Tamandua tetradactyla: one gene and its partners. The protein of the gene in region 3 binds, or shares a complex with, the protein of the main gene of each other region. Links are inferred from orthologs where the notes say so. Each region holds a gene or a part of one and is shown on either strand. Other genes may lie near its edges.

The links.
Region 1: the proteins of SFN (region 3) and RIPK2 are in contact, whole or in part, in a crystal structure (PDB 7OBS), measured with the Homo sapiens proteins. The link is inferred for Tamandua tetradactyla from reciprocal best matches to the Homo sapiens genes SFN and RIPK2. Residues at the interface, in NP_006133.1 of Homo sapiens: Lys49, Arg56, Arg60, Lys122, Asp126, Arg129, Tyr130, Pro167, Gly171, Leu174, Asn175, Val178, Tyr181, Glu182, Ile219, Leu222, Asp225, Asn226, Leu229, Trp230; in NP_003812.1 of Homo sapiens: Leu535, Gln536, Asn537, Lys538, Ser539, Met540.
Region 2: the proteins of SFN (region 3) and CDKN1B are in contact, whole or in part, in a crystal structure (PDB 7ORG), measured with the Homo sapiens proteins. The link is inferred for Tamandua tetradactyla from reciprocal best matches to the Homo sapiens genes SFN and CDKN1B. Residues at the interface, in NP_006133.1 of Homo sapiens: Lys49, Arg56, Arg60, Arg129, Tyr130, Glu133, Leu174, Asn175, Val178, Glu182, Leu222, Asp225, Asn226, Leu229, Trp230; in NP_004055.1 of Homo sapiens: Arg194, Arg195, Arg196, Gln197, Thr198.
Region 4: the proteins of SFN (region 3) and HSPB6 are in contact, whole or in part, in a crystal structure (PDB 5LTW), measured with the Homo sapiens proteins. The link is inferred for Tamandua tetradactyla from reciprocal best matches to the Homo sapiens genes SFN and HSPB6. Residues at the interface, in NP_006133.1 of Homo sapiens: Val46, Lys49, Asn50, Arg56, Arg60, Lys122, Arg129, Tyr130, Glu133, Gly171, Leu174, Asn175, Val178, Glu182, Met202, Leu205, Glu210, Tyr213, Leu218, Ile219, Leu222, Arg224, Asp225, Asn226, Thr228, Leu229; in NP_653218.1 of Homo sapiens: Pro9, Trp11, Leu12, Arg13, Arg14, Ala15, Ser16, Ala17, Pro18, Leu19, Ser84, Pro85, Glu86, Pro107, Asp108, Glu109.

What each region holds. Positions count from the first base shown.
Region 1 is NC_135332.1:133,084,273-133,091,948, forward strand, and holds the start of RIPK2 (receptor-interacting serine/threonine-protein kinase 2), read left to right. Parts: upstream 1-4,671; 5' UTR 4,672-5,138; coding exon 5,139-5,311; intron 5,312-7,676.
Region 2 is NC_135333.1:75,264,553-75,271,819, reverse strand, and holds the start of CDKN1B (cyclin-dependent kinase inhibitor 1B), read right to left. Parts: upstream 3,003-7,267; 5' UTR 2,495-3,002; coding exon 2,020-2,494; intron 1,485-2,019; coding exon 1,363-1,484; 3' UTR 1,355-1,362; intron 1-1,354. UniProt on the Homo sapiens protein: Important regulator of cell cycle progression. Inhibits the kinase activity of CDK2 bound to cyclin A, but has little inhibitory activity on CDK2 bound to SPDYA. Involved in G1 arrest. Potent inhibitor of cyclin E- and cyclin A-CDK2 complexes.
Region 3 is NC_135328.1:199,376,807-199,383,687, reverse strand, and holds SFN (14-3-3 protein sigma), read left to right. Parts: upstream 1-4,961; 5' UTR 4,962-5,128; coding exon 5,129-5,875; 3' UTR 5,876-6,370; downstream 6,371-6,881. UniProt on the Homo sapiens protein: Adapter protein implicated in the regulation of a large spectrum of both general and specialized signaling pathways. Binds to a large number of partners, usually by recognition of a phosphoserine or phosphothreonine motif.
Region 4 is NC_135342.1:30,228,718-30,235,913, reverse strand, and holds HSPB6 (heat shock protein beta-6), read right to left. Parts: upstream 3,007-7,196; 5' UTR 2,954-3,006; coding exon 2,756-2,953; intron 1,851-2,755; coding exon 1,728-1,850; intron 1,591-1,727; coding exon 1,438-1,590; 3' UTR 520-1,437; downstream 1-519. Other genes in the region: LIN37 (protein lin-37 homolog), read left to right, coding at 1-89, 181-254, 340-421; PROSER3 (proline and serine-rich protein 3), read left to right, coding at 4,043-4,108, 5,289-5,491, 6,310-6,437, 6,549-6,652. UniProt on the Homo sapiens protein: Small heat shock protein which functions as a molecular chaperone probably maintaining denatured proteins in a folding-competent state. Seems to have versatile functions in various biological processes.

The DNA of each region.
Region 1 (7,676 bases), on a different chromosome or scaffold from region 3:
GCGAAGCTCTCCCTGGCGGCCTGAGACATGACTCCCAGGGATAAGTTCGGCACTTACACTGTAGGATCAACAATTCCATCCTGACTAGAAGGGGGAAAAGAAGTGTAACTAATAAAGTATCAGCGGCTGAGAGAGTTCAAATAGAGTCGAGAAGCTACTCTGGAGGTCACTGTTATTCAAGCTTCAGTTAGACATTGCTACCTATCATAACTTGCCAACCCCCAACCAAAACCATTCCAGCCAATCCTAAAGAACACCTAGGGCAATATAAAAGATTCTACAAAATTCCATGCACTAGGGTAACTTTCCAGAAACCTTACAACCTCCAAATGGGTCCCTGGACCAGATAAGTCCTGAAACCTAGAGGGCCCAGCCTCTCCAGAACATCAGCTAGCTCCTTCTTCCTATCCAATACTACTGACAGCCCCTTCCAACATGAAAAAATTAGAATGGGCATAGCCCAAATACCCCTAAAGAGAGGGAAGAAATATCAAAGGTGATGGTGGAGTTATACAGAGAAGATAGGTTTTAACAAATGAACATGATTACTAAATCATTAAATTGATATTTTAGTCTCCAGTATTTTAGAGCAGCTAGAAGTAAAAACCTAAAATTGAGGAACCGTAACCCATACCAAAACTCTGAAATCTGTTCTACAACTAATTGTGGTGCTGTGCTTTGAAATTTATTGCTTTTTTGTATACGTCATTTTTCATAAAAAAGAAAAAATGTCGATTGTAATGATAAAAAGTATTTATTCCTTCTAGCCTTCTATATTCTGGAATAGCTAGAAGGAAAAATCTGGGAGAATGGTATGGCAGCCCATGACAAACTCTGGGATCTGTCCTGTAACAATTGGTTGAACAGTGCTTTGAAAACTATTGCTTCTTTCTTTCTTTGCTTTGTATATATGTTATATTGTACAATAAAAAAGTTTAAAAAAAAAAAAAGAACAACCTTGAGAATTCAATGGACCACAGGCTTAATCTAAATTAATAGTTTAACAAGACTGCTGAAAGAGAAAAGAAAAAGAATCCTGTCTTCCATTGCATTAATAGATTCACATCAAAGACAAGCCCAGCAAATCTCACTCTCATTGATTATATGGAATTTCGAACATTTAGACATAAGAGGATACTGATGAAGTAAAATGGATTCACAGGAAAACAACGAAGCCACTGTGAGTCTGAAGACAAGCTGAAGTAAATAAATTCATATGCCAAGTATTCCCGGTGTCCGGCTATACAAAAAATACAAAACAAACAAAAAAAACCAGCATGTACTTTTCTGACTCTCATTATAACAGACTTTTTGTCATTAAATACATCAGGTGCTCTTTGAGACACTGTTTTCTGGGGAACACTGTATCAACTGACACTCGCACCATTACTGTAGGAGCATTCTATCTGCCCCATATTTTCATCCATACTTGTTATATTCTTTTGAATTTTAGTCATTCTAGTACGTGTGTAGTGGTGTTGCAATGTGTTTTTTAATTTGTAATTGCCTGGTGGCTAATGATGTTGAGTATTGTTTCACATTTATTTGCTTTTTGGATCTCCTCTTTTGTCATCCTCAGTTATGTACAATAAACATTAATAAATCAAAACTATTGAAATTGCCTACACTCTTCACTCAATAACCACCACAGAATAGTTTGAAGAAATGTTTCTTCCTTTCTTCTATAATTTTTATTTTTCATAGAATTATAATTGCCTCATTTTTCTCATTCATTTTTTTCAAATAACCAAACAATATAATTTCTCAAAAAACTCAAAATTAGCCTATAAAGTCAATTATTTTAAATAAATCTAGCAAAAAAGTACAAGTCTATACTCTGAAAACTACAAAATGTTGCTGAAACAAATTAAAGAACACAAAAATAAATGAAAAGCATAACATCTTCATGGATTAGAAAACCTAACATTGCTAAAACAGCAATGCTCCTCAAATTAATCTACAGACTCCATACAATCACTATCAGAATCCCAGCTGATTTCTTTGTAGAAACTGACAAGCTGATTTTAAAATTCATGTGGAATTGCAAAGGACCCAGAATAGCCAAAACAATTTTGAAAAAGAAGAACAAGGTAAGAGGACTCACACTTCCCAATTTCAAAATTTACTACAAAGCAACAGTAATCAAGAAAGTTTGGTACCGGGCGGGCCGCGGTGGCTCAGCGGGCAAAGTGCTTGCCTGCTATGCCGGAGGACCTCGGTTCGATTCCCGGCCCCAGCCCATGTAACAAAAACAAAAAAACAAAATACAATAAAACAAGAAAATGTTTAAAGATGTTTCCCTTTCTTCCTTCCTTCCTTCCTTCTCTCTGTCTTTCCTTTAAAAAAAAAAAAAAGAAAGTTTGGTACCGGCATAAGAACAGAGATATAGATCAATGGAATATAATTGAGAGTCCATAAATACACCCATACATCTATTGTCACTGATTTTTCAAGAAGGATGCCAGGACCATTCAATGAGGAAAGAATTGTCTTTAAAACAAATAGTGTTGGGCAGGCCACAGTGGCTCAGCAGGCAGAATTCTTGCCTGCCATGCCAGAGACTAGGGTTCGATTCCCAGTGCCTGCTCAGGCAAAAAAAAAAAAAAAAAAAAAAAGTACTGGATAAACTGGATAGCCATAGGCAAAAGAATGAAATGGGACCCTTTCCTCATACCACATATAAAAATTTACTCAAGATTGGTCAAAGAACTAAAGATAAGAACTACAACTGCTAAACTCTTACAAGAAAACACAGAGTTAAGTCTTCCTGATATTAGCTTTTGCAGAGATTCTTAGATGTGACATAATAAGAACAAACAGCAAAAGAAAAAATAGGTAAACTGAACTTTGTGAATATCTGAAACTTTTGTGCTTCAAGAAAGTGAAAAGAAACCCACATTATGGGAGAAAGTATTGGCAAATTATGTATCTGATAAGGTTTTTGATATTTGGCATGTATAAAGAACTCTTACAACGAAAAAAATTAAAAGATAAATAACCTAATTTTAAAACAGGCAAAGGATCTGAATAGACACTTCTTCAAGGAAAATACACAAATGGCCAACAAACACACGCAGAGATGCTCAAGATCAGGGAAATGTAAGCCATGACCATGAGATATCATACCACACCCGCTAGGATGGCTAATAGAATAGAAAAGTCAGAGAACATGTTAGCAAGGCAATGGAGAATTTGGAAGCCTCAGACAGTACTGGTGGGAATGTAAAATGGTGCATTTACTTTGGAAAAGAGTCTGTCAATTCCTAAAATGGTTAAACGTAGAATTAAATGACCAGCAATTCCACCCTTAGGTATATATCCAAAAGAAACGAAAAACCTGGTTCACAAATGCTTAGCGCAGCATTATTCAAGTCAAGATAGAAACAACAAAAATGGCCATTATCAATGACAAACAAATTGATAAACAAAATCTGGTATATCCATACAATGGAATATTATTTGGCCACAAAAAGGAATGAAGTACCAATACATGACACATATTGGCTGAATATCGCAAACCCTATCCTAAGAAACCATTCACAAAATCCCATTTATTATCTGATTTCTTTCATATAAAAGTACAGAACAGTGAAATCAGAGACAGAAAGCAGATTAGTGGTTGCTTAGGGAAGTAATAGCTAAAGGGCATGGTTTTGTTTGGTTTTTTTTTGGAAGTGATGAAAATGTTCTAAAATTGACTGTAGTGATGGTTGCAAATATCTGCGAATTTACTAAAAATCACCGAATTATACAGTTTAAATGGATGACTTGTATGATATGTGAATTATATCTCAAAAATTGTTTCAAAAAATACAGAAGCAGTGATTTTCTGTAGGCAGAATTCCTCCATTTAAGTCAGGCATTCCTTAGTATCGTTGCCTTAAAATTCATTAAATACTTAGTGTGGACTTGTTATGGAATATAATGTTTGCATTCATACTCTATGCAACTACACAATAGTCACCTAAGTAGAAAGATGTTTGTCAAGAAGGGTGGAAAGACAGATTTTGTTGCTGTTGTTGTTGGCATTAAGGACTGCGTGCATTTCTCCCAGATCTGTAGGAAATAAATCCTTGCAGTCTTACCTGGAATCAGAGGCAAGGGCTCTTTCAGGGTCATTTTCAGTATCTCTCTATATAGTTATGGAAATTAGGGAGGAGAAGGAAGGCAGATTCCTAGTACAGGAGCATATAACTAGAGCTGAACCACTGAGCGTGCTGCACTCCTATAGGGTTTATCAACTACCTCTCACTCCTCAAGTAACTAGAAGTGAGGGAAGACGGGCGTCTAGTTCGGCAAATTTACCGTTACGGCCACGCCGGGCTCATTTTGTGTGGGGCCCTAGGAAACCACCAGGCGCCCAGAAGCGCTTTCTGCACAGGCGCAGAGTCGCCACGCGAACTCCGCTCGTCCTCCCCCTACACCTCCCCCTCCCCCTCCCCTTACCCCTACCCCCAGCCCCACCCGCTCCATCTCCATCTCCCGACTTTGGGCCGGAAGAAAATTCGCCGGGCTGGGAGGGTCCGCTCACCAATCGGACTTCAGCCAGCAGGCCGCTGAGAGGGACTTCCCCGAAAGGAAAATTTCCAAACCCGGGGCGGGGGAGTGGGGCGGGAGGAGAGAGAACATAAGAAGCGCCCCCGGGTCCCTCCCCGTCCCTCACTTCCCTGGCCCAGCCGCAGCCTCCCCGGATCTCCCGGGGCTCACGCGGGGCGGGAGTTTGCCCGGGAGGCCTGCCTCTCGCGGGCGCAGTGTCCGCCACTGACGTAGCCTGAGAAGTTTGGGGGGAGGAGCTCGGCGGCCCGGCCCGGGTGGCGGGGTGCGGCTGGGAGGAACCCGTCCCGGATAGGAAGCTTCTCCTTGGCAAGGCGCGGCGCTCCTGAGCTCAACACTGTTTCCAGAAAAGAAGCGTCCGCTCCAGCTCGGAAGAAGCAGCGGGCGGTGCAGGATCCGGCGTGAGCTGGAGAATGGGCGACCTTGTGACTTAGTGTTCGGAGTAGGAAGGCCCTCGCTTGCCTGGCGCAGGGGCGCTTCCCGGAGCCCGAGCGCTGGCGGAGAAGCCGCAGGAACGGCGGGGCCGAGCCGCGGCGGGCAAACCGGGAACCAGCCTTGGCCAGAGTGTCCGCGCCGCCGCAACCATGAACGGGGAGGCCATCTGCAGCGCCCTGCCCACCATCCCCTACCAGAAGCTCGCCGACCTGCGCTACCTGAGCCGCGGCGCCTCGGGCACCGTGTCGTCCGCCCGCCACTCGGACTGGCGCGTTCAGGTGGCAGTGAAGCACCTGCACATCCACACTCCGCTGCTCGACAGGTAGGGCGCCAGCGCGGTTCCCGGGCCGACCCCGAGACCAGCTGCACCCCTCTCCGCAGACGCCTGTCCGGGGCCAGCGGATTTTGGATCCCAAACGGCAGTGACCACTCCCCTCATCAACTCTTGGTTGTTCTGCAAGGCCTGGGGCTGGCGTGGTGGGGAGAGCGCGCTGGCTCTGCGGAGGCAGCAATTGGACTCTTACGCTCATCTCGTGTAGCCTCTGCCCTTTCTCTTCTGCCCTCCTTTCCTCCTCTTTTACTCTCCTAGGTTTCCTCTCTGCATTTACTAAAACCCAGCAATAACAGCCCAACTCTGAATGCCCTATTTATTGAAATTGATGTGTGTTTTTCGAGGGGGCGTGGTTGTGTTTGCTTTGGTTGTTTCTGTGTATGTGTGTGTGTGTTTAAGTGGTTCTAGAGCTGGGCTGTCCTCCAATACGTTGCTCGCAGTAAGCCACAGGCAATCTTTGAGCTCTTGAAATGCGGCGGTCCAAATTGAAATGTGTTGTAATTGTAGAATATACACCGGATTTTGAAGACTTACTATGAAAAAAAACCATCAAATATTTCTGTATTTCATATGTTACGTGCTGAATGGTAACTTTATCCAAATTCATTTTTCCTGTTTCCTTTTACTTTTTACAATGCTACTGCTAGAAATGACATATATGGCCCCCCTTGTATTTCTATTGGACAGCGCTCCACTACAGTCTGAGATATTTTAGAGGTTTGAACTTTTTGTTGTTTTTGTTTTGTTCGTGGTCGTGAAAGTTTAAATATCAAAACCACACCCAAAGGAAATCTGTTTTATTTTTGCACTAACATAAGCTGAGGACTGTTAAATGGTCAAAGAAAATGCCTCTGGCGTCCTGGAAAAAAAAATAGTGCAGTGTATAGGTTTCAAGGGAAAGCTAGCATTGATTTCTCTTTCCAGGGAAACTGCTATCATACTTGCAGACCTGTGGCTGAATGTATTAGTTAGTGGGTCCAGTCACTAGTTTTGTGTTCTGTCCTTGCAATAGGGATTTAACTAGGTAGGCCCTGCACTAGTTAAAATTCCTAAGAGCAGCACTCTGTTCTTGACCTGTACCTAATTCAAAATACTTGGTACCAGATCCCTGATTGGATACAAGCAGTTAGTGTCCAATATCAGATCGAGTCCTCAGCTTTCAGCCTGCCAATGTTACTGGATTTTCACCTTCCTGTACCCTTTCTTTACGGCCTCTTACTATCAGGCTTGGGCGGGCTGTAGATTTGGGACGCTTCTGGAGATTGTCCCCCCTTTTTGTATGCCATCATCCCAGGACAGTGACATACAGGGTGTGGTGTCTGTTTACCCTGGGCCTGTAATTCTGTGGAGCAAGTGCTGAGCAAGTATGTGTGTGAAGTCAACTTTGAAGGGTGTTGGTTGGTCAGAGAGGGTGGATATATTTTAGAACCATCTATGCAAATGGAAATTTAGCACTGAGGGACCCATACGATATATATTTTTTAAATTTATTTATTTATTAATTTAAAAATTAAGAAGCCAAATAAAACATCAATGTATATAATCAGTAATTCACAATATCATCACTTAGTTGCATATTCATCATTTCTTAGAACATTTGCATTAATTCAGAAAAAGAAATAAAAAGACAATAGAAAAAGAAATAAAACAAACACAGGAAAGAAAAAAAAAAGATTGTACCTACCATACCCCTTATCCCTCACTTTCATTGATCACTAGCATTTCAAACTAAATTTATTTTAGCATTTGTTCCCCCTATTATTTATTTTTATTCCACCTATATGATATTTTAAAGCATGTTGGTCCTTCTCCCGTTTTGAATGCTGCTGCTGCATCTCAAGATTTTAATTTAAATTCTAAGCTTTGTGCCATTTGGAGGCAAAAGAGTGAAGGGGGAGGGAAAACATTCTCCCTCCATACTCATTACACAATTTTCATAGTCTAAAGGTCGCCTGTAGAATTGGGTAGGAAATTAATTCTGTCTTCAAAGAAGCCTCAAAAACAAGAGAAATGCATTGAACTTACTGTGGCATTGCCATACCTCCTTCTTTTGTACCATTTGTTACTTAAGATCTTAATATTAGCAGTATTTTTGTAGTCTGAGTTTAAGGTTGAGCCATGCAGTTGACTCACAAGGTGTCCATTTCCTCATTTATAAAGTGGGACTAATAAATACATGTACTTGGGCCCTGGCATGGATATTGGTTGAATTGTTCTTTTAGATCAACTGAATATAAAAAGATTTATGTTCATGATATATGTCCTTATTTTAGTGATTGGGGAATCATTCTTCATAACCTGCCTTCTACCAATGAGAAAACCTTTGCCAAAACCTCCCCACCCACAAGGAGTAGAG
Region 2 (7,267 bases), on a different chromosome or scaffold from region 3:
AATTGGCAATATTTATGGACAAATGCTTCTCTGTGTGCCAGTAGATCTGATTTACTGTGGTTTTGAAGAGCAAAGCTATCAGACCAGTAGAGCTTCAGGTATTAAGGGAATTTTTTTACAAACTTCCTCATTTCATATAGAACTGTAATATAAAGGTTCTATAGTGCTGTTTTGTATAAGCTCTAAAAAATATCACACGTATAAGGAGAAATCATATATATTACATTCCAAATTGCTTAAAAATAGAACAAACTTGATTCCCACTTAAATCCCTGTGTTTTTATTTTAAAATTTTTATAAATGATTTGAAACATTAATATCAACATTTATTCAGATATTTAAGTATAGTATATTTTTTGGGGGGAAAAAGATATCGGGGTCCTTGTCCTTAAAAAGTCTGTAAGCTATTAGAATATAAGTAATTTCATTATTATAAATCGCTATAATCTAAGAAAATTTGGTGCTGAATTATACAAATTAGCTATTTGCGTAGATCAGATTTTAGTAGACAGAATTCTCCCCTTCCCTTGTACTGGTTAAATCTATCCTCAGGAAGCCCTGGTATCTACTGTCCATTTCCCCTACAAATATCCAAATCGTTCTATTACAGCACGATTAGCATACGCATGCTGACGTGGTCATGGATTGCTTCTCTGGTAGAGTAAATTTAACTTCTGCTTCCCAACTTCAGTGCTACCACTGTAGTATAGTTTAGTATATTTGAGCGTTCCATTTTGGATTTTTTTTAAATATGCAGTTTCCTTCTCTCTCCCAAAAACTTGCAAGAAAACAGGAAAAGTGACAGTCTGTGAAAGTGACAAAAGATAAAAGATAGCAACATACCACCCTATTCACATTTCTAACCACTTGATTAACCAAATGGAGTTATTTGTACCTAATTCTTCCCTCAAATTTTAAATTTAATCATTTCTGTGTATGGCTTAGAATCTACTGAATCCTCCAGAACCTCTGAAATGAATTCTCATGAAGTGGGACTGAGGCTTACCCCAGTTTTGTTCAGATGGGGAAAGAACCTATTGTTCTCAGCATGTTTTGGTGGGGCTGACAGGGAAATGACATTCCTAGCAATGGGCCCTCACTACCACTGCTTGCCTGGGACACTTGTTCTAGTTCAGTGTATCAAGGGAAACGTTGAAGAATTACAGTATCCCCAGAGTGATTCCAAGCCTTCTTCATCCTACTTTTCTGATCTCACAAAATATAAACATCACAAAACCCCATAAGCTCCTAATCTGCCAGCAACCAGTCAGATCAGCTATCTTGGAGTCTGAAGGTCCACGGGTTCCTGCAGCCCAGTTTGGGTGTCAGTTATATGCCTTAGTGATCAACCCACCAAATGATTTACGTTTGACGTCTTCTGAGGCCCGGCTTCTTGGGCGTCTGCTCCACTGAACCAGCGTTCGGGGAACTGTCTGAAACATTTTCTTCTGTTCTGTTGGCTTTCTTGTTTTGAGGAGCAGAATCTAGGGGCAAGGAGGAATTTTAGGAAAACAAAACACAAACAAGCTTTGTTAGAAAAAAGCAATGGCTGACAAAAGTTGGCCCGTGAGTCAACTCGTGGAATGAAAAGCCCACCACCTCTACCCACAATCACCAGTGGCCTTTTAGTGCACAAAATAAAGTTGTTTTCACATAACAGAAAGTGAATTCTACGCCCCAAATCTCTCTCTGCCTAGCGGAGAGGGAGACCGTTGATAAACACCCACATTACTACAGCTGCCTAGCAGGGCGGGGGCGGGAACTGCGGTGAGAGAAATGCTCAGATACTACAATCTCCAGCTTCTGATTTAAACATCATAAACAAACAGTCAGGTAGCACGTACAAGCTAAGATTAATAAAGTTCACAACCAAAAGCTACAACAAAGTACACCGAAAAGAAAGAAAACTTTTAGGTAAAGACGTGGGCCACCACCGCCCCCCCCACCCCCGCCCCAACCAGGCAAAGCGGGGCCCCAGACAGACAGACAGACATTTTATTATTTTGAAAGGGTCATTACCGTCTGTTGCAGGTCGTTTCCTTATCCCATTGCACTGCTCCGCTAACCCCGTCTGGCTGTCTGCTGTATCAGTTTTTTGGTCTACCAAATGTGTGTCCTCTGAGTTTGCTGGGGACCCAATTAAAGGCACAGCCTGGCGGTTCCCGCTGACATCCTGGCTCTCCTGTGCGGGCACCTTGCAGGCGCCTTTGGGTGGCCGCGGGGGTCTGTAGTAAAACTCGGGCAAGTTGCTCTTTTCCACCTCTTGCCACTCGTATTTCCCCTCCAGGGGCTTGTGATTCTGAAAATCAAAATTCCACTTGCGCTGGCTTGCCTCTTCCATGTCTCTGCAGTGCTTCTCCAAGTCCCGGGTTAACTCTTCGTGATTCACGGGGCCGAAGAGGTTCCTGCAGGCGGAGGGCTTGGGGTACTCCGCCTGTCTGCCGTCCATCCGCTCCAGGCTCGGGCTCCCGTTAGACACTCGCACGTTTGACATTTTCCTCCCGGGTCTTTACTACCGCCTCTCTCGCGCTCTCAAAAAAACAAAACCGAACAAAACAAAACGCCCCGATCCAACCCAACCCCCTTTTATAAGCCCCGCGATGCCCTCCGAGCCAAGACCAACAAACACTAACAAGTAACTGCCCCGGCTTCAGGAGCGCACTGGGTCTGGGGGAGGGGGAAGGGGAAGCCCCGGAGAGGCAGTGCCGACAGTCTCCGCGGATCAAGTGTGCGGGCGAGCTGGAGGGCGGGGAGCGGAGGGGAGGAGGCAGGGGGAGGAGGTGGAAAAGCCAGTCCAAGTCCCGGCAGCAGCTAACCCGCCGGTCCCGCGAATCAAGCCGCTCTCCAAACCTTGCCGGCGTCAGAATCGCAGCGTGGCGAGAAAGTGGGGAGAGGGGAGGGGGAGAAAAACACCCCGAAAAGACGAGCCCCCTTTTTTTAGTGGCCCAATATGGCGGTGGAAGGGAGGCTGACGAAGAAGAAAATGATTGACACCGCAAGTCTATTTAAACAGAGGAAGAGATCCATTGGTTGCTACGCCGGGAGCCGCCCCGCCGAGGCTGGCGAGCGCGGCCTTAAGGTGGCCCAGGCGCGGTCTGGGCGCGCCGACTCGGAGAGTGCAGCAAGGAGATTGGCTGGTCGCGTGATTGCTGGAGGTGTACTGCTGCCAACAAACCTGCTCTGGCTGGCCCCGGAGAAATTAAAAATAAGACAAACAAACTAGCCAAACGGCCGGGAAGCTGGGGAGGGGCCTCGGCGGCAGGGCAGGCGGGGCCTGGGGTTCTGGTCCCGGCGCTGCGCAGTCTGGCCCGCTGCGGCTGGTAAAACCTGACTTCTAGCTCCTCGCTGTGAAGCGAAGGGGCTGGACCCGAAGGTCTCTAAGGGTGCTTGCAGATTGTGTTGAGCTTCGGTGGCGATCTTATTTTCCCAGCACTCGCCGACCCCGGGTGCGGGCGGTTGAGGGGCAGAGGCAGAGTGCGGGAGCGTTGGTCTGCTGATCTCTCACTAGTGCTCCCACCCCCGCCCCCCACTTCGCGGACTGCTGAGGAGGCCGGCAAACATTTACTAAGGGTTGGGAATACCACCACCACCACCTTCCCGCCTGAGTGTCTTAGTTGTGGAGTGAAGGTGGGCGGTGATTAGTTCATCCTTAATCCAGGAGTCTCTGTTATCCAAGGGGAGTCAGGGGGCTTAGGGTAGAAGTCAGGGCTGTCCGCTTTCTATAAATTAGCCGGGAGTAGGGACAGCATTTTTAATATATTCTGAACTCAAGCTTTCCTGCAATAAAAAAGAAAGGGTCCCGAGATCAAAAGCTGCACTGGTCCCCTAGGTTTCCCAAGTCCCTTAATAAACTTTGTAGCCATCTCAGATACATTTAGGTTTGAAAAGTGAGGTTATACTCCTGGCTCAAGTTCTTGTTTCCCAAGTACAGTTAAGGGTACTGACACTGGCTGCATGTGGGGACTCGTCTCCTTCTCTTTATACTTTATAATTCTTTCCCGGAATGTAGCAGTTTCCTCTACCTGTGTCCCGGCGCCAAACACAACAGCTCCTTCCTTCCTCCACCTTTCTCTCCCACCAGATTCACTGCTCCAACCCACCCAGAACATCAATCAGATGAGAGTGAACGCTTTTAAGGCGTTGCAAGCTGTTGAAAGGTGAACATATTCCCCTAAGGATCAATGTCCATCTTAGGAAGTTTGTTATAAAGCTACCTCAGGTCTGATGTTATTATTTGGGCATTTATTTTTCTGCTCTCCCTTGAAACTTGAAACTTAACCATCAGTTTGGTCTTGAGCAAGGCAGTGGAGGTTGAATCAGGATGGGCAGGTCTGTCATATCTCAGACATAACCCAATGAGTTTTTAACTGCCTCCCACCCCAGCTCCCAATACACACTATTTTAGTTTGGGTCAAAGTTAAGACATTTTACAGGAAATTTATTCACTGCAAATATTACACAGCAACAATATTTTCTCATGCCTTCATGCTAGATGAGTTTGCTCTTTAGCTTGCTTTCACAGCCACATCTTGTTTGTCCATTTTACATGTCTTCCTCATTGTATACACTCCAAAATGGTTGGAGCTGGGAAGATTGTCAGGACCCCGTGGTTCAACTCTCTTATTTGACCAGTGAGGAAATTGAGACTTGGAGAGGTTTCCTGTCCAGGGACACACATCCAGTTGGTACCAGAGTTAGGACTAGACAAGGTCTCCTAACTCTCAGTCTGGTTCATTTTCTGCTCCTTTCCTTTCTAATGATCCCCATTGGTTCACGTTTCCGTCTGAGTTCCCTTGTGCTGTAGCCTGCAAGTCCTCTTCTAGTACAAGTGATTCAAAATGGCTCCTTCCCAGGCCCTAGACTGCCTGCAGATGTTTCCATAATTTGGCTTATGGTCACGGATATTTTAATGCAGAGGACACTGGCCTTTGGCATCACTATCAACTACTTCAACTAAAGTGCACATTCCAAAAGGACACAGGTGCTATGCAGAAAGAGTGACAAAGACAGTGCCCAGAAGTGGTTTCAAAGTCAGGGCTTCCTACCTGACCAACAGAAAATAATTCAGCTGGGATCAAAGTAGGCATTCTCATCCTCTTTGTTTTTCTGCATTTAATGGCCCATTTAAAATATTGGATTGGGGATGGGTGAACAGGAAAGTTAGAACAGCCCTCATTACCAGGTAGTTTATACTTTACCCTTGAAATTAGATCATTCTTGCCCAATTTTTTAAAACATTTTTTATTGTGAAATATACCATATATACAAAAAAGTGGTAAATTGCAAAGCATATTTTAACAAGAAGTTAGAGAACAAATTTCTATGTATGATATGGGAGTTGGGGTAGGGGGAGACAGTTAATGACTCATTGAGTTATGTCTGAGATATGACAGACCTGCCCATCCTGATTTAACTTCCACCGCCTTGCTCAAGACCAAACTGATGGTTAAGTTTCAAGTTTCAAGGGAGAGCAGAAAAATAAATGCCCAAATAATAAAATCAGACATGAGGACATAGTAGCTTTATAACAAACTTCCTAAGATGGACATTGATCCTTAGGGGAATATTTTCACCTTTCAATTGAAATTTCACCTTAGAGCAGTCTCCTAGCTGCTCTAAGACAGTGGAGACTAAAAAGAAATACCAATATAATGAGTCAGTAGTCATATTCATTGGTTAAATCCTGTCTTCTTTATTAGAACTCCTCCTTCTCCCTTGATCCTTCTCCCACTCTTTAGGGATATTTAGGTAATGACCATTCTAACTTCTCCATGTTGAAAAGGGGTGTCAATATTATGGGGTAGGGGAATGCAACATGTTGGAACTCTTGTAGACACTGGTAACTCTGGGTTTCAGAGTTTCTGCTTGTCCAAATTTTTAAATATTTTCTAGACTACACAGGAATTCTATATTATATGTGTGCATGTGTGTAAATATGCACAAATACACAAACTACCAGATGTAAGTCAATGGAGAAATTCTTGAGTATTACCTTACACAGAAGTTTGATGTTATTCATGTAAAAACGTAAGTGGAATTACACAAAATTCCACTTGTATAACAGTGGAAGAGTAACACTTTTATCCCCTACACAATTTTTCTTCGATTAATAGGTAGGAACACCATTTTGTTGCTTTGCTAAACTTGAAAACTAAATGAATCAGTCACGCCACCTTAAGAAGTCTGGCTGCCAGCAGAAAGGCTGTGCTTATGACCTTGCTATGATCTAAAGTGTTTTGTTTACAGTCAAGTCACCGGAGATCTGTACAGCAAATAATGAGAAAGCAGGCGTCTGCTGTAGTAGCGACGAAGCGTGAAAAAATACTATGGAGTCCCCGAGGGAAGAGGGAACGTGGAGATCAGAGCACCATCCTCCTGTGGAAAGTATTCAGCTGCAGGCTAGGCTAGTAAACCAGGGAGAAATGTTCAGATAAACAGTACAAAGGCGGAGCCTGAGTAGAGGACAGAAAGTTCTGCTCTGCGGGCGCTGCTCTAAAATGGGCTCTGCTTCCCCAAGACTCAGAACCTAGTTTGTTGTTTTCACTCCTGTTGGTTTCATACTTAGAGCTGAGAAGTGTCACGTAGGCCACCCCAGAGTTCTGTATCTTTCGCAAGTTGCTAGAGGCAAAGACCAAACAACTTAAAAGAAAGCACCTGCCTAGTAGACAAGTATCCACATGGTGTGGGCGGGCAGCGCGGGTGTTCGCAGATGCAGTCCTCTCTCCCCAATGCTATACAGCCGCAAGCCGTTCTCCCAAGGTGCACAGTGTCTTGCCCAGTTGCCTCTCCCGGTGCAAATACACATTTATTTTTTTACCCTTCCTCGAGGGCTTTTTTAACAAGGTAGCATTAACTCACCCTCACCATTCCCCCAAACTGTTTTGTTTTTAAAGAGATCAGAATTTCAGTCACCTTTTCTGACAGCTTTTTAAATTCGATTTAACAAATATTTATTAAATACCTACTATGTGCCAGACAGTATCCTGGGCTCTGGGGATACAGAAGTATCTCATTCGTACAGATAAAAACTTGAATGACGCTAACATGCTAGAGTGGGGAGGGGAGGGCACAAAATGAGTAAAATATACACTGTGTAAGAAGGTGATACATACTATGAGGAAACATCAAACCGGGGAGAGGAAAAGAGAGTGCTGTCAGGGTGGCGATGTGAATAGAATGGTCCGGGAAGGCCTCACTGAGAAAATGGTCTTTGAGGGAAGCCCGGAAGGATATGAGAAAGCAAGTCATGCAGATATCTGGGGAAAGA
Region 3 (6,881 bases):
GGCCATTGGTCACTAACACTCTTGTGTCCCAGCTGCGCTTTCTCTCACTTGCCCGTTTTCTCTCCTGCTTTGTTGTCTGCTGCCCCAGTCCTGGCCTTTCTCTGGGGGAGAGGCAGATGCTATGATAGCACCTGTTCCCACTGCCAGGGCCCCTGTAGGCTTCCTTGTTCTTCCCAATCCTGCTAACCCTCTCTCTTCTCCTTCTTTGCTGTCCTGTCCTGGATCTCCAGTGTGTGCTGGGGCTTAAGGACCTCCTGAGGACCGCTGCTCTCTGCCTCTCCAGGGGTGGCCTTGGGGAAGCCAGGCACCCGGCACCCCCACCTGCCTAACCTGTGGCCCGTCTGCCACCATCTGTGCCTACAGGGTCTGCCCCCAAGTCTGCCCCACATGTGTGCTCTCTTGGCACAGCCCCCTCCAAAAGAGGACGGGGCTGACCTCTTTGCCCCCCATCCACGCTCCATGCTGGCCAGAGTGTAGAAAGCCATAATGCAGCTGTCAGCACAATAATGTAATACTATGCTGAAACTCTCCCTTCCCACCTCCCCTTACTTTCCCTTCCCCAGATTTGTGAGGTGGCAAGACCCTAGGAATCTTGCCTTACAATCTCCCCCAACTCCCCACCCCCCCACCCCCCCAAAAAATGGCCGGCATTGCCATAGTCAGGTTGAGCAGGTTTCTTCAGGAGCCATCTGGAGTGCTGATGGTTGATGACGCTGCTGAACAAGTTTGGTGACTGTTCTAAGCACAACTGGCTTGACACTGTTCCCACGGCCCCCTCCACCCCCACAACCTGGAATAGGTAAGGATGCAAGGAGGGTGCTTGTACCTTTAGCTCCAGGCACTGACTGCCCCATGTTTTCAGAAGAATTAAAGGAAACTGGACCAGGCCTTGGAAACCAGTTGAACCCAGGGTCGGGGGCTGCTTGTCTGCTGTCCTGTACCTTTTTTAACCAAAATAAAGATACCCCTTTTCTTGCCATACTCTCGACTGTCTGCTGCCGCCTTTACTGTGGGGGCTGGGGGTAGAGTCTGTGGTCAGTGTGCAAGACAACATATGGCTATCTCTCACCTCTAGCTTTGTTCCAGCTTGTCTAGAGATTTTAAAAGACACACACACATACACACACACACACAATAAAGCCAAAAGAGACAAGAGTAGCCAGCATCCTTATCACTCTGCACCTCCACAACTCCGGTCTCAGTTCCAGGGATCCCCAAACCCAGGCTGAGACAGAGAGTTTAGCCCCAGTTCGTGGCTGTCACACTTTTGAATTGAGCCCCACCCAGGGTAACAATCTCATGGAATTTATCCTGTCCCCAGCTGCTGCCCAACATCCAGTCAAACACATACAGTGTGCAAGAGCTAGAAAATAATCACAGCTACCATTTACCAAGGACTGACCAAACACCAGACCCCTTTTCTTACCTTAACCAATGACGAAGGTGCTGTCAGTCCTGTTTTACTGCAGCTCAGGGCAGTTACAGGACCTGCCCTTGGTCACCTTGCTGGTAAAGCAGCAAATCCAGGATTTGCACCTGATCCCTGCCCTGATCTCTGGCCTGTCTGCCCTACCTAAGGAGTGATGAGGGCTGTTCCAGGAGAGTGGGCACTGCAGAGGGAGTGACCCAAACAGAGGAGAATGTCAGAGACAGCAGAAAGGGGGCTTAGAAAAAATCTGGGCCAGCCTCTTCAAATTGTATTGATGGGGAAACCAAGGCCCAGAGGCAGGCAGAGACTTACCCAAGGCCTTATATACAGAGCTGGAATGTAGTCCTATACCCTGACCTCGTACCATTTTCTTTCTACAAATTCCACACTATCTCCTAGACTAGATTGGTTTAGGAAATGAGGGATACTCTAAACAGCAGTACCATGAGGAGAAAAAAACAAAACAGCTGAGTCTCTTAAAATGTATCTGCTCCCAAAGGCAACTACCGTAGTGAGCTCTAAAAGAGCTGGAAAACTAGCCTCTTCTTCACAACTAAATGGGAAGAAGGTGCCATAGCCTCCTCGTGTCACCTTTTAGTTCGAACATTCCAAGACTGAAAAATTTCCTAGGAAGTTCTTTCTGAATCTAACTAGAGTCTTTCTTACTGCAGTCAAAGCCCTGTTCTCTGTTCTTGTGAAAGTAGATAGCAATTGGTTACTGTGTCACAACCCTTCCACTAGGAATTGATTGTCTATAGGCCCAGAGACCTTGAGGCTGCTGATAGGACAGATGCTGTGTGGAGGGGTGGGGAGGTTAGTAGAAGGGATGGGGAAAGTACCATTGAGCAGCAGCCCCAACTTCTGTCCTGCTGACTCAGGTGACTGACAGTGGAGCTCTGTGCTATGCCAGGACCTGCTGCCTCCTGCCTGTCTGGGCTCTGGACTTGGGAAACAGAAGCCTGGAGGCAAAGGGAGGTGCAGGAACTGAGTCAGGACTGACAGGCCAGAGCGAGCAAGAGGTTTCTAGCAACCTGTCTCCCAGATTCACCCCTGAGCTTCGGCAGGGGAGGGGCAGGTATGAAGGGGGACTCCTTTCCCTTGCTCTGGGGCTGTGCTGAGGGCATAGAGCTTTGGCATGAATCACCACCAGGTCCCCTGGCTTAAATGGTGGGAAGGGAGGACTCCCTGGAGTCCAAAGAAGTTTCCTGGTACCCTGGGACCTCGAGCTTTCCCCTCAGGACTTGGGAAAGCCTGGCTAAATGACTAGTGCAAAGGAAAGTACTTGAGGGCCCACAGCCTTCCTTAGACCAGAGGAATGTCCTAGATGGAGAGAGAAGAGGCAAGGTTTCAGCACATCTGTCCATTCATTCAGCTGGAGAGGGGAGAATGTGGGCCAACATTGCCTCCTTCTCTCTCCTGTGGGTGCCCAGCTGGGCAACATCTGGTCTTCGACTGAGGTCTGGTTGACAGCTCTTCCTCATTTCATAAACCCAGCTCCATGTTAATGCTTTGTGTGAATATGTTTATATAAGAAAGTTGGTTGGTTTTTTCACATAATAATAATAGTTACTGTAGTCACCACCACTCTCAAGTGCTTTCCCTGGACTCATTTAATCCTCACAAGTCTCATTTTACATTTAGGGAAACTGTGGCTCACAGAGATTAAGTAACTTGACCAAGGCCACAACAGTTTGTAGTGAATGAACCCAAGCAGTCCATCCAAAGATACTAGGCTGTGTTCTGTCTTTCATAGAAAATGATACATATTCACTACTGAAAATTTGGAAAGGATAGGAAAATCCCAAAGCAGAAAAGTCAGAGCCTCACTATCTAAAGTTACCCTCTATAAGTTGACATTTTAGTGTATTTCCTTTCCATCGTTTTCTGTGTCAGTGCTCCAAATTGAGCAGAGTCTTTGGGATGTCTAGCCTAAAATCCTTTCTGCTTCCTTGGAAAACCTAGGTCTAGGCATAAGCCTAGACATGTCCCTACTCTTCCATGAAGCAAAGAGGCATACCTCATCTTTGGGCTCCTTCCAGGAGGGCAGGGTGGGTGTTCAGATACCAAGAGGAACCAGGGAAGGCACAGCCCTGCAAAGCGGTCCTAGCTCAAGGATTAGACTGGTTGAGTTCCAGCAAGGGCAGTCCCTCCCCTGAGTCCCAGATGAGCTTTGGCTAGGGGTGGGGCAGATAAGAGGAATCCACTCTCATAGGCTCAGTGCCAATACCCTTAGGTGAAACTCTGGAATGACTGGAGGGCAGGGCTCAGTGAGCAGGGACAGAAGGTTGGCAAGGAGAAGATTCCATCTTTGGGACCTCTGCCAGGGGTCAGAGGTGGTGTAATGGGCAAAGGGAAGGGATAGGGAAACTTCTGAGAGGCTAGGCTGAGGAAGGAGTATATGCTGGATTGATGCCCCATAAAACAAAATGGTATGTGTCACCACCACCTCCATTTCCTCAGTACTGTCTCTCTCCCCACATTGCTGGCGTCCCCCCTGGGGAATCAGACCGGGCTGAGTACCCACGTGGTCTGCTTCCCACCCTCTGACAGAAGAGCAGGCTGAGTCAGGCAGGAAAGTGGGACAGCCAAGGAACTGGGCCCTCACCCCCCATGAGCCCTGCTGATACATAATGATGGCAGGTGGCTTGGAGGGGGCAGGTGGCCTAGCACAGAGAGCCAGAGAGTAAGTCCTCAAACAAGTGGCAACAGGCCACTGACTTGAAAGGGAAAATTGTGCTGTGATAGGGAAGGTGCCTGACAAACCTATTGCGTGACTAATTACAAAGGCCGGATTGGAGCGTCAGTGGCCGCTTGTTAAACACCTCATTAAGTGGCACCCTGAAAGCTGCCACCTCTGTAGTCTGGGAGCTCAAAGGGACCAGGACCCTGAGGGGAAATGAGGACGAGAGCTTGGGACCTTCTTCAGGGTCTAAATACAGCCTGGAGCTCACAGATCATAAAAGGCCTTGATGGGAGAGAAACCAAAGGAAGTAGGGTACAGAAGGGAGAGTCATAGGGATTTACTAGCTATGTGACCTTGAGCAAATTTCATCCCTCTCTGAGCCTCAGTTTTTCCATCTTTGAAGTGGGAACAGTGCTGCCCACCTTACAAAGCCATAGTAGGAAAAAAATTAGATCATGGATATGAAGTGCTTGGGAAACTGTATAATCCCACCTAAACATGAGTTACCTCATCTGAACCAAGGAGGCAGGATGAGGAACCCCATCCTCCTGTACCTGTCTATATGGGCACTGCCTGGGCTAAGTAGCCAGGTGGCTGATGCCATCTGTTTCCCCTGGAAAGATGCTGTGAAGGAGGATCTAATATGAGAAACCCAGACAGCTAAAAGGAACACCCGTGTAATGGCAGTCCTGAACAAGAGGAGGCAGCCAGGAGCCCCAAAAGGTGTTGGTGCAGGTGGGGCCCACTCCTGCATTTCTCCTGCTGACTGTTCTGATGACTCACCTCCACGTCCTGGCCCTTTTACCTTTAAGGAAGAGCCGGAAAGGGTGTGGGGAGAAGAGGAGAGGGAAGTAGGTCCCAGGCCTTAGTCCCTCCCCCTACCACTCCCCACCCTCCTCTGGGCCAGGCCACCCAGCCAAAAGGCAGGCGGAAAGCAGGAGAGGCACAGAGCTGAGTCCAGCATTGGTCCTGAGGCAGCTAGTAAGCCCAGCGCCTGTACGACTGTCCCCAGAGCCATGGAGAGAGCCAGTCTGATCCAGAAGGCCAAGTTGGCAGAGCAATCTGAACGCTATGAGGACATGGCAGCCTTCATGAAGGGCGCTGTGGAGAAGGGTGAGGAGCTATCCTGTGAAGAGCGCAACCTGCTCTCTGTGGCCTACAAGAACGTGGTCGGTGGCCAGAGGGCCGCCTGGAGGGTGCTGTCCAGTATCGAGCAGAAAAGCAATGAGGAGGGCTCGGAAGAGAAAGGGCCCGAGGTGCGAGAGTACCGGGAGAAGGTGGAGACCGAGCTCCAAGGCGTCTGCAACACTGTGCTCGGCCTGCTGGACACCCATCTCATCAAGGAGGCGGGTGATGCCGAGAGCCGGGTCTTCTACCTGAAGATGAAGGGCGACTACTACCGCTATCTAGCTGAGGTGGCCACAGGTGATGACAAGAAGCGCATCATCGACTCAGCCCGGTCGGCCTACCAGGAGGCCATGGACATCAGCAAGAAGGAGATGCCGCCCACCCACCCCATCCGCCTGGGCCTGGCCCTGAACTTTTCCGTCTTTCACTATGAGATTGCCAACAGCCCCGAGGAGGCCATCTCGCTGGCCAAGACCACCTTCGATGAGGCCATGGCTGACCTGCACACCCTCAGCGAGGACTCCTACAAAGACAGCACCCTCATCATGCAGCTGCTGCGAGACAACCTGACGCTGTGGACGGCCGACAACACTGGGGAGGAAGGGGTCGAGGCTCCTGAAGAGCCCCAGAGCTGAGCCGGGCCTGCCATCCACCCTGCCCTACCCCACCCTCTCCAGTCCCCCACCCCCGGCAGAGAGGACTCGTATGGGGTGGGAGGCCCGACCCTTCTCCCTTAATGCCCTGCCCTCAGCTCAGGAAGGCTCCATGGAGAGGAACCAGCAGAGCTGAGGCCACCTGGAGCCACAGCATCTCAGCTGTCAGGTGCTTGTGACCACTGATCTCCCCACCTGCCCCAGCTCTCTGCACCCCTTCCTCCGTATCCCGTCTGGGACCTGGGCCTCTTCTTCTTCTTCCTCTCCTGCCTCCCTCCTGCCCCTGCTGCCTCTGGATCTTCGGAATTGAGGAGTGTCCCACCCTTGTGTCTGAGAGGGGACTGTGGTGGGGAGGTTGGGAATGAGTGTGTGTGTGACCGTGTGTGTGAGTGTGAGAGCAAGATGGAGAATGAGAGGGAAAGCATGTTTGCTGGGTGTGACCATGTTTCCTCTCAATAAAGATCCCCTGTGACACTACTCCTGTCTTTTCCAGTTATTGTCGGTGGGCTGGGCCTGGGATTGGTGTATAATTTACAGAGACCGACTTTGGAGCTCTAGTTTAAGGGTCCCGACCTCCTCGAAGGGCCAACTCAGGCCCCACAGACGGGATTTTGGTGTGTGTGTGGGGGGGTGGCTCGAGATGAGAGGCAGATGGGCCAGCTCTCGTCAGGCTGGCCCCAAACAAACTGGGCCAAGGCGAGGGTGAGACTCCTCCGCCAGATTGAAGGGAGGTGAGGGATGCCTCAGTGCAGGAAGCCAGGGAGCTTGGGTCTGAGGAGGCAGGAAACTAGCGAGGGCTCAGGCTGAGGTCTCAGGACAAGGCCCCTAGCACGAGCGCTCCAGATTTGAAAGCCAAGAAAAGTCCCATTAAGTGTTCAGATCTGGGCGGGGAAAGGGAGTATGAGGCAAGGGTATGACGCCGCCATTAAAAGTTCAGATCTGAGGAGAGGGGAGAACAGAATGAAACGCGCTGTTGGGAAAGAGGCGC
Region 4 (7,196 bases), on a different chromosome or scaffold from region 3:
CCACAGCCCCTGGGCCACCCGGAGATACCTGCAGATCCCGCATTCCATCCCCACTGCAGCCTGAGACCCAGGGTACCCCTGATGATGAGGTGGGTATGCAAGACTGGCCTGGGGCTGGGAGTGGGGCACATGGTATTAGCCTCGGGGCACAGCCACCTAGCCTAACCTCTGTCCCCACAGCCCTCTGAGCCTGAGCCCTCACCCTCCACACTCATCTACCTCAACATGCAGCGTTGGAAACGCATCCGCCAGAGGTAAGCATCTCCTACACCTGCCTGCCCTTCTATGGTCTCTGCCCCAACTGCTGAGCCTTCCCTCTGACCCCCAATCCCACCCCAGGTGGAAGGAGGCATCTCATCGGAACCAGCTCCGTTATTCAGAAAGCATGAAGATCCTACGAGAGATGTATGACCGACAGTGATGTGCCCCTGTCTCCCTACCCCAATAAACAACTCCCTCCTCCACACTGGCCTCTGCTTGCTCCATCCTATCTCTCTCTACCCAAAAACAGGCAGCTGGTACAGCTCCAGCACATTTATTGGGAGAGTGGGCCTAGGTGGGGACAGTGGGGCAGGGCAGCAGGGAGTTCAAGGAGGGAGCAAGGTGGGGAATGAAGGGGAGCATCTGCTTGATTGAGGATGAATAGAGAAGTGTGGAAGGTGAATTGCTTGGGATATCTGGCTGGGGACTTGGGTCAGAACAAAGAGCTGAGGTGTTAGACTTGGGGAAGGGGGCCTGGGGTATCTGCAGAAAGTCTGGGGAAATTGGGGGATGTCTGTACAGTTTGAGGGTGGGGATCAGGTTGACCTGGGACAAGTGGGGTCTGTCCAAGGGTGGGGATCAGAAAAGGGATTCAGAAGCCTAAATTTGTCTAACTGGGATTTCAAGACAGAAGATGGGCGTGGGGAGAGTGGAGTGTCTGGTTGGATTAAGGGAAAGAGTCCGTTTGGGGAACCCAGCCCGGATGGTCTTGGGTGGGAGTTTTGTACAGAGCCTGGGACAGTGAGGGGTAGGGTGTGGGGAATGGGGGAAGTTAAGTCTGACTCTTCTGGGGTAGGGGCAGGGCTGTGTACACATAATCTGGAGTCCAGGGGAAGGGGTTTGAAGTGGGGGGTGTAGAGGAGGTTTCTTCCTAGAGTAAGAGGAGAATAGGAGCGTCTTGAATAGGGATATCTGCCAAAAGAATGGAATCAGTGGGGAGGGGAGCTGAAGGCTAGGGGTAGTGCTGGCATAGGATCTGAAGGCAAAGAAGGATTGGGAGCAGGGTCTGAAAGTTGGGAGAGGGGGTATCGGAGAGTATAGGGCCTGGTATCGGGGCAGGGTCCCGGATGGGTGTTGTGTGGTCTTGGCGCGCTCAGGACATCTGGCTGGGCAGAGTCAGGTCGACTTTAAAAGAGGGGGCCTGGGGAGGCCCGGGATTCAGGCGTGCCCGGATCCCTACTTGGCAGCAGCTGGCGGGGCCGACGCGGGAGCAGCCTGGATGGACAGGACGCCCTCGGGGGACAGAGCAGACGTCACGGCGGCTGGGTCCACCCCCGGCGGCAAGCGGTAGCGGCGGTGGAACTCGCGTGCGATGTAGCCGTGTTCATCCTGGGGACGGGGAGAGGCTTGAGCGGCACTGCCCCTGCAACCACCATCCCAAAGCTCTTAAAGTAAGGTCTTCGCCCCGCCCGGCCTGCCTGGCCTTCAAGACAGCGTTCCGGCCCCACCCCCGCCAGAGAGCTCACCGGGCGCTCCTCGTGCCGCGCATGCACCTCCACGTGTTCACCCACCACCTTGACTGCAATCTCCTCCGGTGAGAAGTGCTTTACGTCCAGCAGCACCGAGAAATGGCCAGGATCCGTCGGCACCTGAGCATGCGGGGCAGAACTGTCATCGGGAGGGGCAAGGCTCCCGGGACCCATCAAGGCCCTTCTCGCATGGGCCTCGGTGCTACCCCGCCCCAGCTCCTCTGACCCGCGCCTCCGGAACTGGGGAGTCCTCCGTGTGACGGAGTAGGGTCCCTCTCCCCAAGTCAGCATTGGGATCCACTTCTCACCCAGGGTGATGTGGCTTCCTTTTCTTGCAAGGTCGGGAACTTCCACCTTTACAAGGTACCGAAACCTGACTCCCACCTCCGGTGTTAATGACCCCTTATCACCGCTCCCCCTGGGGCACTGACTTCCCACTTCTCAGTCACCGGATTCCGTTCCCTATCCAGGCCAGAAATCACGAAGACGCCTATTCCCCCAGTCTCTAGGTTAGAATCACAGGACCCCTCTGGCCCTCGGCAATTACTGGTTCTCCTCCCCCACTTCTCAGTGGCCAGGGCCCACTTCCCAGGTCACAGGACCCGCCCCCCCCACACACCTCTATCTTTCCAGGAGACATCGGGCCCCCCACACTCCAATCTCCAATCTCTCCCTAGAATACCAGAACATACCACGCTTCGGGAGTCACTGGGGGGCTCCTCCGAGCTTCTGAGAATGACTGGGCTCTCCCCTCTTTCTTCAGAGTGAACGCCCCACCCTAAGGGTGATGAGCCTTTCCACCCCCTCAGAGCGACAGAAACCTCCCAAGCTCTTCAGTAACCCGGTGCCTCCACTCCTCTCAGAAGGCTGAATTCCACCCTTGGGGGACTCTGGAATCTCCTCCAAGTGGCCGGGATTCTACACCCCACTAAAAGTCATCGGACATTCCCTCAACCCCCTCAGGAAGACCCGGACCCCTGGCCTCCGGAGTGACCGGGTTACTGCCCCTCCCCCAGGCTTGGCACCTGGGCTACGGGCAGCGCCACGCTGGGTGCGCGCAGGTAGTAGGGGGCGAGCGCTGGGGGGCAGACTGCAGCCAGTTCGGCCTCGAGTAGCCCCTCGCCGAAGCGCTGGTCAAAGAGGCGCCCGGGCGCCGAAAGGCCGGGCAGTGGGGCCGAGGCACGGCGCAGCCAAGTCGGCTGTACAGGCACCGGGATCTCCATCCTGCTCCGCCGTCGCCGCCGCCGCCCTGGGCGCCGCAGTGCCTCTGCGTACGCGGCAGCCGCCTTATAGCGCACCCCTATGCCCGCCCCTCGGCGGGCCGCCCAGGGACACCGGGACCGCGGCCAGACCTGGCCATTAGTAGAGCCTTATTTAGAAACCCCCAACAATGACTTGGCCATTTATTGAACGCCTGCTGCATGTCTAGCAAAGGCAGCCAGGGAGGTGTCATTAAGAGCCCCCAACTTCCCTTGGAGGCAGCCTTGCCAGGGAGGGGGAGGCGCGGCGTTTGGGACCCAAGGCCAAGAACCCCACTACAGAGCCCCCGGCCCTTTTAATACACCCCCACTCTCCAGGCAGCTCTGGGGATGACGCAGATGGCGGCCTTGGGGGCAGAATCCTGGGTAAGGGAAATGCAGCGACCGGGCAGGTTGTCAAAAAGACACAGAACAGATCCTACCCCCACCCTCCGCTGGGCCCTGGGATCAGCCTCCTAGCAAGCCGGGCCTAATTCTGTTCCTCTGACTCAGCCTCGGGTACACAGGCAGCAGGATCTGCCAGGTGAGCAGCGTCCAGGGGTCGCAGGCACCAACAGTACAGGCTGGCCCCCCGGGGCCGAGGCCCGAAATAGCTCCTTTTGATCCTGCCACCTCGGCCAGGTGCCCAGACCTGGCGCCTGGCTCAACCAGCTGCTCCTGTATACAAGAGGGATGTGATTAGATAACCGACAGGACTGCTGGCTGGCTAAACTGATGGACGATGGTTAGCGAGAGAAAAGACTCCCAGATTGTCCCTGCAACCAGAAGTACAGTGGTTAGATTGGAATCCGAAAGGTAATTCTACAGCAAGACGCCGAGCGGCCTTAGATCCTTTCCATTCGTTTACAGGCTTGCCAATCACTGCTGCCCGGTATAGGCTCACCATTCAAACATGCTCTCTCGTTACAGCCAGTCACGAAACTTCTCCCTTTGGCCACTTTACAGTTAGCTCTATTTTCCTCCCGTTCATTGGCTGCCTTGGGGGGCCGCTCTTTTTCCGCGCGAACACTACCAGAGAGGGGCGGGGCTGAGGAGCATTGCTAAACGACAGAGATGCGCGCGGGGCCTGTAGGTGAAGGAGCGGAACTGGCGCCCTCAGGGCCACGAGATGGACCGCAAGTAAGACAGATCCTTCTTCCGGGGATAACAGGAGGCCTGAGGAGGACCGAGGGATGAGGGCGAAAGAGCCTATGGGCAGAGTCGCGAATCTCTCGCTTTCAACCTCACTGGAACTACAATTCCCAATATGCCTCACCTCCCGTTACCCCTCCAGCCTTGGACTTCACCATCCCGGGGCGGGGGGGTGGTCCTCTAAGTATCTTATGTTTTGCTTTGTGGCCCCAAGGGCTTCTTTCCTCTAAAGGTGCCCAAGGGCATCTTGGGAATTAAGTCTCTTTCTTTTGAATTTATCTCCAGACACCCATGGTGTCTTTCCAGTATTCTAGCGTCTGGTGAAGCCCAATGACTCATGGGGATTGTAGTCCGCCTCTGTTTTTCTCCTTAGTGCCCCAAGTGATTTATGGTCTAGCAATGGTTCTTAACACCGCAAACTGCATCAAAATCACCGGGAACGCTTTGAAAAAGATAGGGATGCCTAGCTCCACTTATAGATACCCTGATTCTTTGGGTCTAGGGTGGGGACTGAACATACGTATTTTTAAGAGGCCCTCCTAGACTGGATCGAACGTTGAGAACCGCCAGCTAGCAGTTCCTGGGTCCTGCTCAGAGGGTTCATGGAAATTCTGCCTCCGGTATCTTTACATTGAATAAGCATCGGTGTCTTATGAAAATTAGACATCTCTTCCAGAGATCCATGAGAATTATAGTCTGGTCCTGTTACCACCCCCCACTCCACACCGCGCCCCACTCCATTCTCCCCTTGCAGTCTGCCAGTGTTCTCCATACAAGGCAGACTTTTTAGGGACACTCCCTGACTCCAAGCCATTACAGCCTATCCAGAAGCCAGACCTGGTGCCCCAAGGTAAGGACACCCCACAGAGAGTAATGTGTGCCAGCCCAGTAGCAAGGGAGTGACAGCTAGAGGGAAGGTAAACAAGGGATAAGAGATGAGGGTGAGAGGTTAAGAGACAGTCCCGGGCCCCCACTCCCCCAAAGGCCCTGCCCTTGTCCAGCCCTCTACCACCTAGTTCCTCTACCACAGTCCCTATCCGTCTGAGTGGTTACCACTGTGGGATGTGTTTCTTCTTCTCTGGACTGAGACATCATGTGTGTCTTTGTCCTGCTATAGGAATGCCTACTCAGACCTCACTGTTTCATCTCTTCCTCTCCTCTGTCTTAGGCCCTGAACCCATTCCAGCACCACAGATCCAGGCTACCAGCAGTTCCCCAGGCTCTGGCCACAGCTCCCAACTCCCCTGAGCTATTTGAGGAGTCCTGGCCATCCAGCTCAGGCACTCCTTCCACAACCAGCACCTCTGAGGGACAGATGGGAGCCCTACCACCACCCATCTTGGCAGACAGTGAGGACTCCGTGGTGGCCAAGTAAGTACCACCAGAAGCCTAAGGGGAAAGGAAAGTTTGGGTCAGAGGGAGAAGGCACGCATCCCAGAATAGTCATCACAGCCAGAGCTGTTTATGCAGTACTCTTTTAGGACCAAGTACTTCATGTGTGTTATTTAGAGTTTAGGTTCTGGAACTGTACTGTCTGGGTTCAAATTCCAACCCTGTAGCCTATCTGTGTGATCTTCGCCTCAGTTTCTTCATCTGTAAATTTGGGATACTAATAGCACCTATCCCCTAGGGCTGTTTTGAGTTTTCAATGATTTACTGTATGTAAAGCATCCATAACAATGCCTGTCACAGAGTGAGCACTTTGATTTGTAGAATACAGGTTCAGCTGCTATAACAATGAATCTCAAAATAATCGCGGCTTGAACAAGAGAATTTATTTCTCTTTCCTGACGGTTCACGCAGAAACACTTAGCACTGATAAGGCAGCCCCTAGGCTCCTTGTGTCTTACTGTTCTCCCATCCCTAGGCTATTACCCTTACCTTCATGAACCAAAATGGTCCCAGCTACATCCACTTTCCAGAATCACATTTGTTAGTCCATCTTGTTAGTCCAAACCTAATCACATGGCCTCAAGACTACAAGGGCATCTAGGAAGTGTAGGCTATAGAAGAACGGCTGTATGCCCAGCTAAAAATGGCATTACTTTGTGAGAGAAGAGAACAAACAAAGAGGAGCAACTACCAGGCTCTGCCATGGTGCTTGATAAACACTGTCTACTGTTATTATTATTTTTTTTATTATTTGGCTCACCTCTTTCCACCTACTTCCCATGCCCTTATGCTCACAGGTATATAAACCGGTTCCGCCAGGCCCAGCCCACAAGCCGAGAGGAACGCCAGCCTGCAGGCCCAACCCCAGCTGACTTTTGGTGGCTGCAGCCCGAGTCTCTAGCCCCCAGCAGTCAACATGCAGCAGGTACCTGTTTTAGTCCCATCTATTGCCACCCCCAGGCCTGAAACCTTTCTTCATCAATGCCCTTGGAAGCCTCTCCTATTAGGCCCTCTAACTCAATTAGGGGCTTCTCAGCAGGAGCCAAGAAACCAGAAGGAAGATCCAACGCAGCAGCCCCAACTCCTGCCAAGGTGGCCAGTGCATCCAAGGCTGTGGGCCCCCTTCAGGAAATGAAGCAGGTGACATCTCCATCTATCCCCTCCCCTGTGCAATTGAACTGATAGCACCAGCCCTGGGAAAGAATTACAATGGATCCCCAATTCAAGGAAACTTAACCAGAATGGAAGAATTTTTGGTTAGTGCAACTAAGAAATCCAAAAGTTGATGCTTTCAGGCATGGATGGATCCAGGTGTTAGGACAGTGTTGTGGGAACGTCACTTTCTCGGCTCTGTATTCCTTTTTTGGGCTCATCTCAGGCAGCCTTTTCCCTCACATTAACCAAGATGGACCCCCAGAGCCTAGAGCCTCCCATGGTACTAACTTAGCTACTCCAGGGAAAGAGAGGACTTCTCCAATAGCTCCATCCAAAGCCCCAGGACTCCCTCTCATTGGCTTATCCTTGCGCCAAGCCCTGAGCCAGAGAATAGAATGTTGTGATTGGCTAGGCCTGGTGAAGAAGATGACCTTCCTGACAACAAGGACTTCACAGATAACAAGGACTGTACATGGGGGTAGAGGGGATTCACAGATGAAAATCGCTCTTGCCTGAAGAAGCTTAGAGG